3 linked regions of the Kluyveromyces lactis genome follow. The protein of the gene in region 2 purifies or fractionates together with the protein of the main gene of each other region. This does not show direct contact. Links are inferred from orthologs where the notes say so. Each region holds a gene or a part of one and is shown on either strand. Other genes may lie near its edges.

Evidence for each region.
Region 1: the proteins of BUD21 (region 2) and MPP10 purify together in Saccharomyces cerevisiae (affinity purification with mass spectrometry, with the first as the bait; 4 studies listed by BioGRID). This does not show direct contact. The link is inferred for Kluyveromyces lactis from reciprocal best matches to the Saccharomyces cerevisiae genes BUD21 and MPP10.
Region 3: the proteins of BUD21 (region 2) and UTP8 purify together in Saccharomyces cerevisiae (affinity purification with mass spectrometry; 3 studies listed by BioGRID). This does not show direct contact. The link is inferred for Kluyveromyces lactis from reciprocal best matches to the Saccharomyces cerevisiae genes BUD21 and UTP8.

What each region holds. Positions count from the first base shown.
Region 1 is NC_006040.1:821,848-825,607, forward strand, and holds MPP10 (rRNA-processing protein MPP10), read right to left. Parts: upstream 2,279-3,760; coding exon 452-2,278; downstream 1-451. Other genes in the region: NOC3 (Noc3p), read left to right, coding at 1-352; AVT1 (Avt1p), read right to left, coding at 2,671-3,760. UniProt on the Saccharomyces cerevisiae protein: Involved in nucleolar processing of pre-18S ribosomal RNA. Required for the early cleavages at sites A0, A1 and A2 during 18S ribosomal pre-RNA processing.
Region 2 is NC_006037.1:682,508-685,416, forward strand, and holds BUD21 (Bud21p), read right to left. Parts: upstream 1,358-2,909; coding exon 605-1,357; downstream 1-604. Other genes in the region: Mn(2+) transporter ATX2, read left to right, coding at 1-494; KLLA0_A07645g (uncharacterized protein), read right to left, coding at 1,716-2,534. UniProt on the Saccharomyces cerevisiae protein: Functions as part of the small subunit (SSU) processome, first precursor of the small eukaryotic ribosomal subunit that coordinates the first two steps of ribosome biogenesis in transcription of the primary transcript pre-RNA and pre-18S processing.
Region 3 is NC_006041.1:412,585-416,344, reverse strand, and holds UTP8 (Utp8p), read right to left. Parts: upstream 2,163-3,760; coding exon 219-2,162; downstream 1-218. Other genes in the region: KLLA0_E04687g (uncharacterized protein), read left to right, coding at 1-167; SYF2 (Syf2p), read left to right, coding at 2,403-3,068; KLLA0_E04621g (uncharacterized protein), read right to left, coding at 3,167-3,760. UniProt on the Saccharomyces cerevisiae protein: Involved in nucleolar processing of pre-18S ribosomal RNA. Also has a role in nuclear tRNA export. It acts between the steps of tRNA maturation/aminoacylation and its subsequent translocation out of the nucleus.

The sequences.
Region 1 (3,760 bases), on a different chromosome or scaffold from region 2:
GTTGAAAGCCCTTGATCATGTCTTTTTCAGATCAAAATCTGGCACTAAACAAAGAGCTGCTGCGTTCACAAAGAGAATTTACATGGCTTTGCTGCACACTCCAGAAAAAACATCAATTGCACTGCTGAAGTTTTTGGATAAACTAACTACCAAATATCCAGAAGTACTGGGTTTATACTCTACAGACGATAGAATTGGAAATGGGGAGTTCCGCATCGACACAGACTTACCAAGTAGAAGTAATGCAGAAGCAGCAACTATATGGGAAAATAGCCTTCTTGTCAAGCATTACAGTCCTTCTGTTGTAAAAGGTGTAAGATCATTATTCCATAAATCTCAAGAACATAAATAGTTTGGGGGATAAAAAGATAATTAAGAATTCTCTTATTTACCACCTTCATTTCAATGCAATTGCATTAATTATAGTAATATATACTTACTGTAACAGTGTCTATAACTTGAAATTGATGTTACCAGATGCATTATCCTTCTTTATATTACCCTTAACATCAGTTTTGGCACCCTTTTTATCGATAACGGTTATGTTCTTGGATTTAGTCAAGGTATTAAGAACATCATCCGTCTTACTCTTCTTTCTAGGTTGTTCGGCTCTTTTCGCAGATAGCTTCGATCTCTTTCTCTTAGCAGCTCTACGGAGTCTGTTTTTATCCTCTCTGGACAGTTCATCTCTGGACATCACCACACCATTCTTCAAAGTTATTTCATTAGAGTTCTCTGATTTACCAACTTTGTAGATTTCCTGAGGAGCTAATGTGGAACCACTTGACATTGTTAGTGGTTGTGCATCTTCCATAGAAATAGCGGCGGTTTGCACTCTTACTTCAAGATCTTTCTTTATCGGCTTAGGTATGAAGTGGGCTGACGATAATGCATCTAGTTTGTAAACCAAATCTTTATATAGCTCTGAAATTTCATCGTGACTTTTCTGTAATTCTTCTGATATTTCAGTATCCTCGGTAACACCTTTGAAATCATCTTCATAAATTTCAGCTAGTGATTTTGATGACTTTACATCACTTAGTTCGAATCTTGGTTTATTATTGTAGCCTGAAATATCGCTGATAACCCTCCTCTGTAGATCGTTAAAATCTTCTTCCTTGATCCTTCTACGGATCATATTCTCGAGAGTTTCTGTTACCTCAGCTGTTATAACTGGCACAGGTTTGGCAGTTCTTTCGAACTCAAGATCTTCCGTTAACAAGGCATCTTCTGGCCTATCGCGAGCTTTTACTTCACCTTTTAACGCCCATTTCTTCTCAGCAACAGCTTCCTTTTCGAGGGATTCTATTTGTCTTTTTAGCTCAAGTTGTTGACGTTCAAAGGTAGATAATGGTTGTTCAGCAGTTTCTTCATCTGATCCCTGAAAATCATCGTCTTCGTCAGCAAAAAGATCTAACTTAGCTTCCTCCATTGCATCATCATACTCGCTTTCGTCAAAGGATTCATCCTCTTCGGCCTCTGCTTTCTTTGAAGGTCCTGGCCGCCTGTCCTGGGAAGATTTTTTATTAGATGGCTTATCAAAGAAATCGTCGTAATATAGAGCTTCTTCATCTTCCTCCGATGGAACATCTGCGAAATAATCAACTTCTTCGTCATCCTCATCTTCTTCATCTGCATCTTGGCTTCTATTCTCAGCCTCAAGTGTTTGTCTATTGAATTCATCTAGATTGAAAAATTGATCGTTTACACCAAACTTGTCTTCGATCGCTTGTGGACTTTCTTGTGCTTCTACAAATTGATCATCAGGTTCCGAATCACTTTCGTTTTCCAATTTATCTTCTTCCTTCTCATGTAATTCTAAAGGTTCTGGTTCTGAGAACTGTTGTTCTTCATCTAAAACGAGCTCTTCATTTTCTGCTTCTTCCTCCTCCTCTTCAATAGCAGACTCTTCAGAAACTGGAGCTTCGTCTGCAGACATTTCATTGGAATTTTCAACATTAGAGGCATCATCTTCGTCTCCGCTGCTTTCCTCGCTCATATCATTCTCATTATCAACCTTCAGTTCGGCGATTTTTTCCATGATATCACCTTGAACATTATCTAAAATGATTTTTGACTGCCACCATACCTGGTTAGCATCTAGCCCATCAACCACTATCTCATCTAATGTTGTCTTTGAATTTCCATTGTTTTTATTCAGATTGATGACTTCGTCAAAGTAAGTCTTCACTGCCGATAGTGGTTCCTTGGACTCCAGAGCATCCTGGGAAAGAAGTCCAACAGGATTAGTTTTCAAAATTTCCAAAAACTGACTCATGTTGTGTTATGTGTGGGTCAGTGAAACGTTACCTATTTACTGGTGTAGCTGTAGTGGATGTATCGATACGATCAAGCTGCTACTATAGACGCATATTTCGTACATGCTGAGTGATGCGATGAGATGAGTTTTCATCAATTTTTCAGGTATCCAAAAATTTGAAAAAGAAAAAAATGATGGGAACTGTCGCCAATGCGGGTAAGAAGAGAGATAATAGACACAGTTGTGAGGCATTGGTTGGGTGATGAATACTAGACAGAAGTACATATGGGTGAAAAGTCATTATATGAAGTGTGATTCCCTTAGTTTGGGTGCTAAAATTTTGCATAAAGACACGTAGATGCATATACAAGAATGAGGTGCTGGCAAATTCAACAGCATTTGTAGGTAATTCATGAGGTGAAGGAGGCGTATACTCCAAGAGTGGATAATACTGCACTAATTAATATCGTAATATTACACGCTATCAATTCCCAAGATTTAATGGTTTTGTAGCAAATTCTTTTGTAGAACAAACATGGCAGAATGAAACAAATCATGAAACAAAGTGCAGCACCCAAGAATGCAATTATTTTGTCAAATTCAGGGAATAAAATAGCAATAATCACGAACATAACATTCACCATGATTCTGTTAAATATTCTGGTTGCCTTTGCGAAAAAAACCTTCGATGCTGGTTTAGTTTCATCGATGTGCACTACGTTAAACATTGAATCAAAGATGGAGACAATCGGTCTTGCATTAAGTGGTGTTTTGGCAAGTGGAATCAGTGAAAGAAGAGTTGAAATTAGGCCATAAACAAAAGGCGGGTATCCTGGAGTCAATAACACACTTCTTGTCACTTCATTCATAACAAGATTACCGAACATTAAAAATCCAACGACAGCAATTCCGATATCAGTAACAATGGTGATGCTATAAGTGGTCTTCAAACAACGAGTAAACTTCTCCGGATGCCTCATATCACTCTTTAAGTTGGGAAAGACTGCGTGACCTCCCCAGCATGCACTCAATAACCCTAAGGAAAGACAAAACTCCTTGAATGAATTGGGCCACATCGATGTGGCTTCTGGTTGCAATAATGACCCTGGTGAATATTGTTTTAGCAACCCACAGAAAACTACTAACAATGCAGTTCCAATAGTCGAGATAATACCCAACAAAGAGATATTTGATAAAACACTTAATGGCAAAAATATTGGAGGAGTAACTGCAAAAAAAGCGACGAATTTGAAGAAGTTGACCGAATATTCTGGGAACAACGCGTTCAATGAATCACCGAACAAAATGATCAAGGCTACACCACATGCTAATAAATCCATAGCAAATAGGAACGAGATCAATGCACGACCTTTTGGACCAAAAGCTGCATATGCCAAATCTCCGTAAGTCGAAATGGATGGATCTGCATCCAAACATCTTGAAATTAACTGAGCGCTACAAAAAGTAGCAAATGCAAAAATGAATAAGATTGGAACACCT
Region 2 (2,909 bases):
GACTGGCGTTGGGGATTGCCGAATCCTACGATTCGTTGAAATTCGTGATGTTGATCGCCATTATTATACATAAAATTCCTGCGACGCTTTCCTTGACGGGGATTATGATTTCGAAACAGAGATTACCCAAACTACAAGTAATCTCTAATCTTATTGCATTCAGTATATCCACACCGTTCGGGTTGCTATTCGTGATCCTGATGAGATTCGTCAGCAAGGACCTAATCGAGAAAATGAGCGATGGGCTATTGGTTCTGAGCGGTAGTAGTTTATTGTATGCTTCATTGCTTGCGTTGATCTCACCAAGTAAGGACCAGGAACAACAGTTACAGAATGATGGCCCGATCCCAGTGTCGGGTTCTGTTTTAGAGATGGGCGAAGGTGTTACCACTGAAGAGAAAATAGAACAAGAATCACTTCCAGATGTCAGATTGTTACTCTTGGGTATCTTTATCCCGTTAATGATCTCTTTCTTCGCTCCTCATGATAGCTAAAGCCAATCAGGAAACTCCTCTTTTAGATAATACATTATACACGAGACAAATCACATGTATAAAGACCTGTATATTTGAATAGATAGGTACATGTGGGCACAAATCCTCTTCTATTTACGTTTGAGACTTCTTCTTTTCAACCATTTATCCTTTGATTTCATGACACTGGTTTCCTTTTTTGGAGCCAGTGTCTTAGATACCTTCATCGACGATAGCAAGTTCACAGTGACAGGTCCTTTCTGTATTTGGGTCTTTCTCAATTCCCTTAGTGATCTCTTCTTTTGTTTCCGTAATTCTTCTTTTAGGGCCTGTTCTTCTTCTCTTTGCGCTTCTGCCGAGAAAGTAATATGTTTCGGCGTAGCCTTTGCGAAGGAAGATGCAGATCCACTTTCTAGCTCATCAAAGAACTCTTGTGGTAACTCTTCCGGCTCATCATTATCCGAACCCTGCTGCGCTACTAATTGTCGTTCAAACTCTAACATCTTTTCTCTCTGTTTCTCCTCCTCAGACTCGAGCAGCTTCTTCTTCTTCTCTAGCTGCTGTTGCTTGAACACTTTCTCGTTCTTTCGTCTCTTCTCTCTAGCTGCCTCTTCTTGTAACCTTGCAGCCTCTTCTCTTTCCTGAATCCTTTTCTCTATAGCATCTTTCCCACTACTCAAGCCTTCTTCTTCTGGCGCATCGCTATCACTCTCACTCTCACTTTCACTTTCACCATTCGCTTCTGCTTTTGTTGGTTTGAGAGCATCTAGGGTAGAGTTGCCCTCATCAGCTGTATGGAATGAATCATCCGCATCATCATCGAACTTCAAGTGTCTCTTCGCTACCAGTGCAGCACCAGAACCTAGAACTTTCTTCAAACCCATTGTTATATTTCTCAGTAAACTCTTGCCACTTGTCTAATCCAATGCACAATTGAACAGAAACACTGACAGAACGGTAACACGACCTGCTTCATGGACTAGTTCCAGTGGTTCATCTCATCTCATCTCATCGCTTTGTCCAAATTTTTCACTTCGAAAAGAAATGATACGTAAATAGAGGTCACGTGCTGAAGATTTTGTTCCTGACACTGGACTACGAGTAGAATGCTCATCACCCGTTAACGGACTGTGCTGTGTATTGGCTGGTTCTGGTGCTATTTGTTGGTTAGATTATATCAATTTATATCAACTTTATTGCTATGCTAATGGTATTTAATGTGTAGCTTGCAGTACTGAAACATCATGACACTTTAAACTCAATATCACAGAACTGGGTACCAAAAAGCATTCTTGCCACGTCTGTACCCATTATCCAGCATATACATGCCTTTATAATAACCAAGAGATATGATCTACCAGTTCCTGTTACTAAAGAATATATTATCCCAATGACACAGATGGTGATTAGGATATAAGTTATGATGACAGGATATCTTGCGTATAGCATTTGCAAGAACCGACTTAACGGACTGGTAAATGGTGATTCCCTGGATGGGGGAATTGAGGGTGACTGCACGGGGTCGCCTGAACATGGCTGATCGCTTGATGGTGGTGGTATTGGAATTGGCAACGAGGGTGTTGACCAGCAATGTATCTGTGCAGTGGGGTTGGACTCTGGGGAAATTGTTTGGTATGTTGTCAAATCAGGCAACTGTGATTCTAGTAGCGGTGACGATTCCTCCGCGACGCCGATATGACCCTTTTCTAAATCGCTGGCATTATATACCAAAGAGTCACTAACATTTCCATCAGGTAATGGTCCTACTATTATCCTAGTTGGTGTGCTGATTGGAACAGACTCCGGATGTGGTGAAGATTCCACAATGCGGACAGATTTATTCTCATGTTCGTGCGTGCCATCAACAGGTCTTAATATAGACTTGATTGGTATGGGAGTGCTGCTTTTCTGGCTACTGCTCTCACCGGATTGCATTGGTGGGTCCAGTTGTTTGGGTTTAGGTTTGGGTTTGGGTTTAGGTTTCGCTGCTGAAGCTGGTGCGTAAGTGATTGGTTTATTTCGACGTTTAGGCGAAAACCGCTTATTCAATAAGCTCTTCATATGATTTAGCTCTGTACAGTAGAAGCTGACGTTCTCTCTAAATATCTAGATTCAGATCTCGACCTTGAACGGTTGGAGAACGTCTTATGTCGTGTTCTCTATTAAAACGTTTGTGGCTGGGATCTAAATTCAGTTCAATTTGACGTCTGGAAAACTGACACAAGGAATTACCGGCGATTGAACAGCCGTGTCACTTCAAAATCGGGGGTTTAGTAGGGTGTAACCATCTGTAACAACAGGACAGCTATCTTGGAGAGCCCGTGCTTCTAAGTGCATCGCTCTGTGTTTTCTCTTGTGAGGTGGTATCATTTATTGCAATATAGGATGAATATCACGTGACCATAAGGTCTCCGGTTAAAGGTGATCTAGATATAT
Region 3 (3,760 bases), on a different chromosome or scaffold from region 2:
TAGGCGATTACTATGGAACTAGATCCCAGATTGTCATACTTGTCGACAAAGATAACAGAGTTACGTACGAGGAGCATGTGATTTATGAAAGTGATGAGGATTGTGAAACATACTCTTTCATGGATCCAAAAGAGGTAATTCAGTTCCAGTTCAATATGGAAAGCTGATGAAATCATTTTACGAAAAGTTCTAATGTTTATGATTATACTACACACTTATTAGCATTCTAAATAGTCCACTGTGTAAGCTGAAATAGGTTGTGTAGAAGACGAATTTGTTGATGAATTAGATTTATTGTTAACAACCGATGAATGCTTGGTGTAATGCTCTGCCAAATGCAAAAGTTCTATGTTTTGTGACACTACAGAAACCTGCGCATCGACAAAAGAGGAAAGTTTCTCTAAATATTCATCGTCTAACGCAAACAAACCGATGGAATCTATTATTAAACTCATAAGTTGGAAGATTTGTGGCTTATTAAGTTTCAAGTCCGAATCTGCCTTATTCGAGTTCAAAATCATATCCAAAAAGTTTGTGATATCCATCTTCTCAATTTTTCTTATACCTGCTTTGATTGATTCTTTCTTGTAATCTTGTAGCACTCTTAGCGTAATATCAAAACAGAGCTCTGCATTCGTTATATTGAAAAGCTCGGTTAACAAATCGTCAAGTGGAACATTCGGACAAGTAACAATAGCTTGTTTGAAAAGTCTTGGGTTATTTTTCAACTTGGTTAATAAGCCCTTAGCGTGAACCGGTGGGAATAAAGGGTGTGTTAGAAGGTATGTCAATGCTTTTGGATATTCATCCTTGAAATTTAGAAACAAGCAATCGATTATTTGAGTGAGTAAATCAGAATCATTTAAAAATCTGTCATTGTCTGTATAATATTCCTTGTCTAAGGAAAGCATCTTAAAAAATATAGAATCAAAGTTCTCTATTTTTTTACAGATATGGAGTTGTTTTATAATGCGTTCATAGTCTGGAGATGGCAATTCCACATCGTCGTCCTCATTGCTTTCTTCAAAGAGTTTCTGTAGTTTCTGCTTTTGTTTAACCATGAACCCTTTACCCATCGCATCTTTTAAGGTACCGGTACCAACATCAATGTTAATAACATCCAAGTAACTCGTAGGGTTAGCACCGTTTTTAGTTGTAACATCTAATGCTATAGTTTTTCTATTGTCTTCAGAGTTTTCTTGAACAACTGCAGTAGAGAGTAGTTGAATAGCTTTGATGTTCTGTAAATCCTTTTGGAATAGTATAGCATTGTATAACAAATCCACAAGATATATGGTATTATCAGCAGTCAACAATACACGGTTTGAAGAAACTGGTTTGATGGATACAACTGCATCCTTGGAAATGAAAGGTAGCTGAATGCTAGTTTGTAGTTGCAAATGTGGTAACTGATAGATTGATAATTCATTTGAGTTCTTTAAAACATATAATTTCCCGAACTCAAAACACAACTTTGCATTCTCTAAAGTGTAATTTTCTAGTATGATAGAATTTAGTTCAATACATGAGACGGACTCACTCCTAACTTGGAAAAGTTTGTAACAGATTTTCTCATCACTTAGTTGGCATAACACGAAAAAGAAATCGTTTCCCTGCCCATCTTGGAAGAATTGAACAAATCTGATATCATCATAAGATATATCAATAGTATTTGAAAGTTTCAATTCATAATCAAATGTTTGAATCAGTCCATTCCTTAAGATAACGAGAACTTTCTCTGCTTTAGAATAGATCTTAATGCTAACGACTTCAGATTTTAGTTTATATTTGAACTGAGATGTGATTTCAGCATTTGAAGATGACACGGCATCTTGAATCATCGGCTTAGTAGCCAAGTGTAAATGTGATACCTTTCTAGCTTCCAATCCGTAACACCAGACTTCTGTATTGGCTGCATCTTCTACCACGTCACATGCAGTAACAATGTTCGTAGAGGGGATTGGCAAGTTAAAAACCAGCTTCGGGGTTGGATTAATCAAGTATTGTGATATACTGGAACCTGATATACCAATATTCACTTTATTGGCTGATGGTGAAAGATTATCAACAACTTGTAAGTAGTCTGTTTGATTCGCATAATTATTCAATGATGGAATCTTAGGTAGAGCAGAGAGCCTAAAAGGCTGTGAGATGGATGCCATTTTCTCAATATCTTTCGATAAATAATATCAAAGCAAACTGTATTGAACACAGGATATTTGATACTTCACCTCGTCCTTTCAAGAGCAGCGGTTGAGTGTATCTTTGCACTTACAGCTCATCGCATCTCATCGCATCTCATCTCTTCTTCTGAGTACTTCAAATTTTTCAAACTTTACTTTTGGGAGTCAGTCCGGGTAATATATAGTGTCGAAATGCAAACAGAAACAAGATGAGATGCGATGAATATACTCAGATATCTTCCAGGTGACAGAAAGTGTAGCCCTTATTTGAATGCCACAAATCACATTGTAAACTGGACACAGGCTGATAATAAATATTCGAAGATGAATGATCTAATGGAAATTGAAAAAAAGTTGAAGAGTTTGCGGAAACAAAAAGTGGAAGTAAGTATAAGGAATAAGAAGGCCATAATAGCTGAAGAGAAGAAAAACTCTGAAAGAAGAGTATACAGTATGGCTGACGATGGCGAAGATAAAGCTAGAAGTAACAAAAGCGAACCAGAAGATCCGATAAAATTGGCAAACTACTCAATACGCGAATATGAAAAATGGGAAGCTAAGACACAGAATTCAAGACATAATAAAAGCGTGATGGGGGACTTCCAAACTATAGCAAAGAACAGCTACAAGAAGGAAGTAGATGCGCTTCCGAAGGATATATCACATCCGTTGAAAGGTGGAATAACTGAGGATGGGAAGGTTCAAGTAGAAGATAATCCTGAACTAGTAGAAAAAATGGTGAATGATTTGAACGAACGATCAAAGAAAAGGTATATGGTACGGAAACAAAAACTAGATAAACAAAATAAGATCAATTTGGATGATGGATTTATTAATGACAAGAATAAACGGTTTAATGCAAAATTGAATAGCGAGTTCAAATAGGCATGGGAAAATAGGTATATTGGGCATTTACATATGAGATATTTACGATTGATTATGAATAATTATTTTATTTTAACGATATATAGAGGTGGATTTCTTCATTTGTCTTCAGAATCTAGTGAGTTAAGGACTTCTAGATCTTCTTCTAAGCTCTTGACACATTGCTTGTAATGGATCAATTGGAAATTATGGAACAACTTAACCAAAGAAATGATCTCAGAACTATCTGTAAGTTCTCCCAAGAATTCCACAGTTTCTGAGGTTGCAGACACGAACTGATCTTCTAATCGTTCGAAAAGCTTAGAATCAGGATCTTCTTCTGTCTTTGCCATATCAACTGGTTCCTCATTGGTTTTCTTTTCGGGGGTTTCAGGGGTTTCAGTTGCGACCTTTTTTTCAGCTTCCTCAGAGGATGCTACAACCTCTTTTTCCTGCAGCTTCAATTTAATTTCATGACGTAAAGTATCAAAGTTCAATCTTGCATCTTGAACCTTAGCGCGCAATTCGTGACCTTTCTTGAAATCAGTTTCAATAAGTTTAGATAGTTTGGCGTTGAACTCTTTAACCATCAAACTATCCATTTCAGCCTTGCTTTGATCAATTGATAGTTGACATTTGGTCCATGATTCGAATGCTTTGATCAAATTATCTACGTCTTCATCTTCGTCTTCATCTTCATCTGCTTCTGCTTC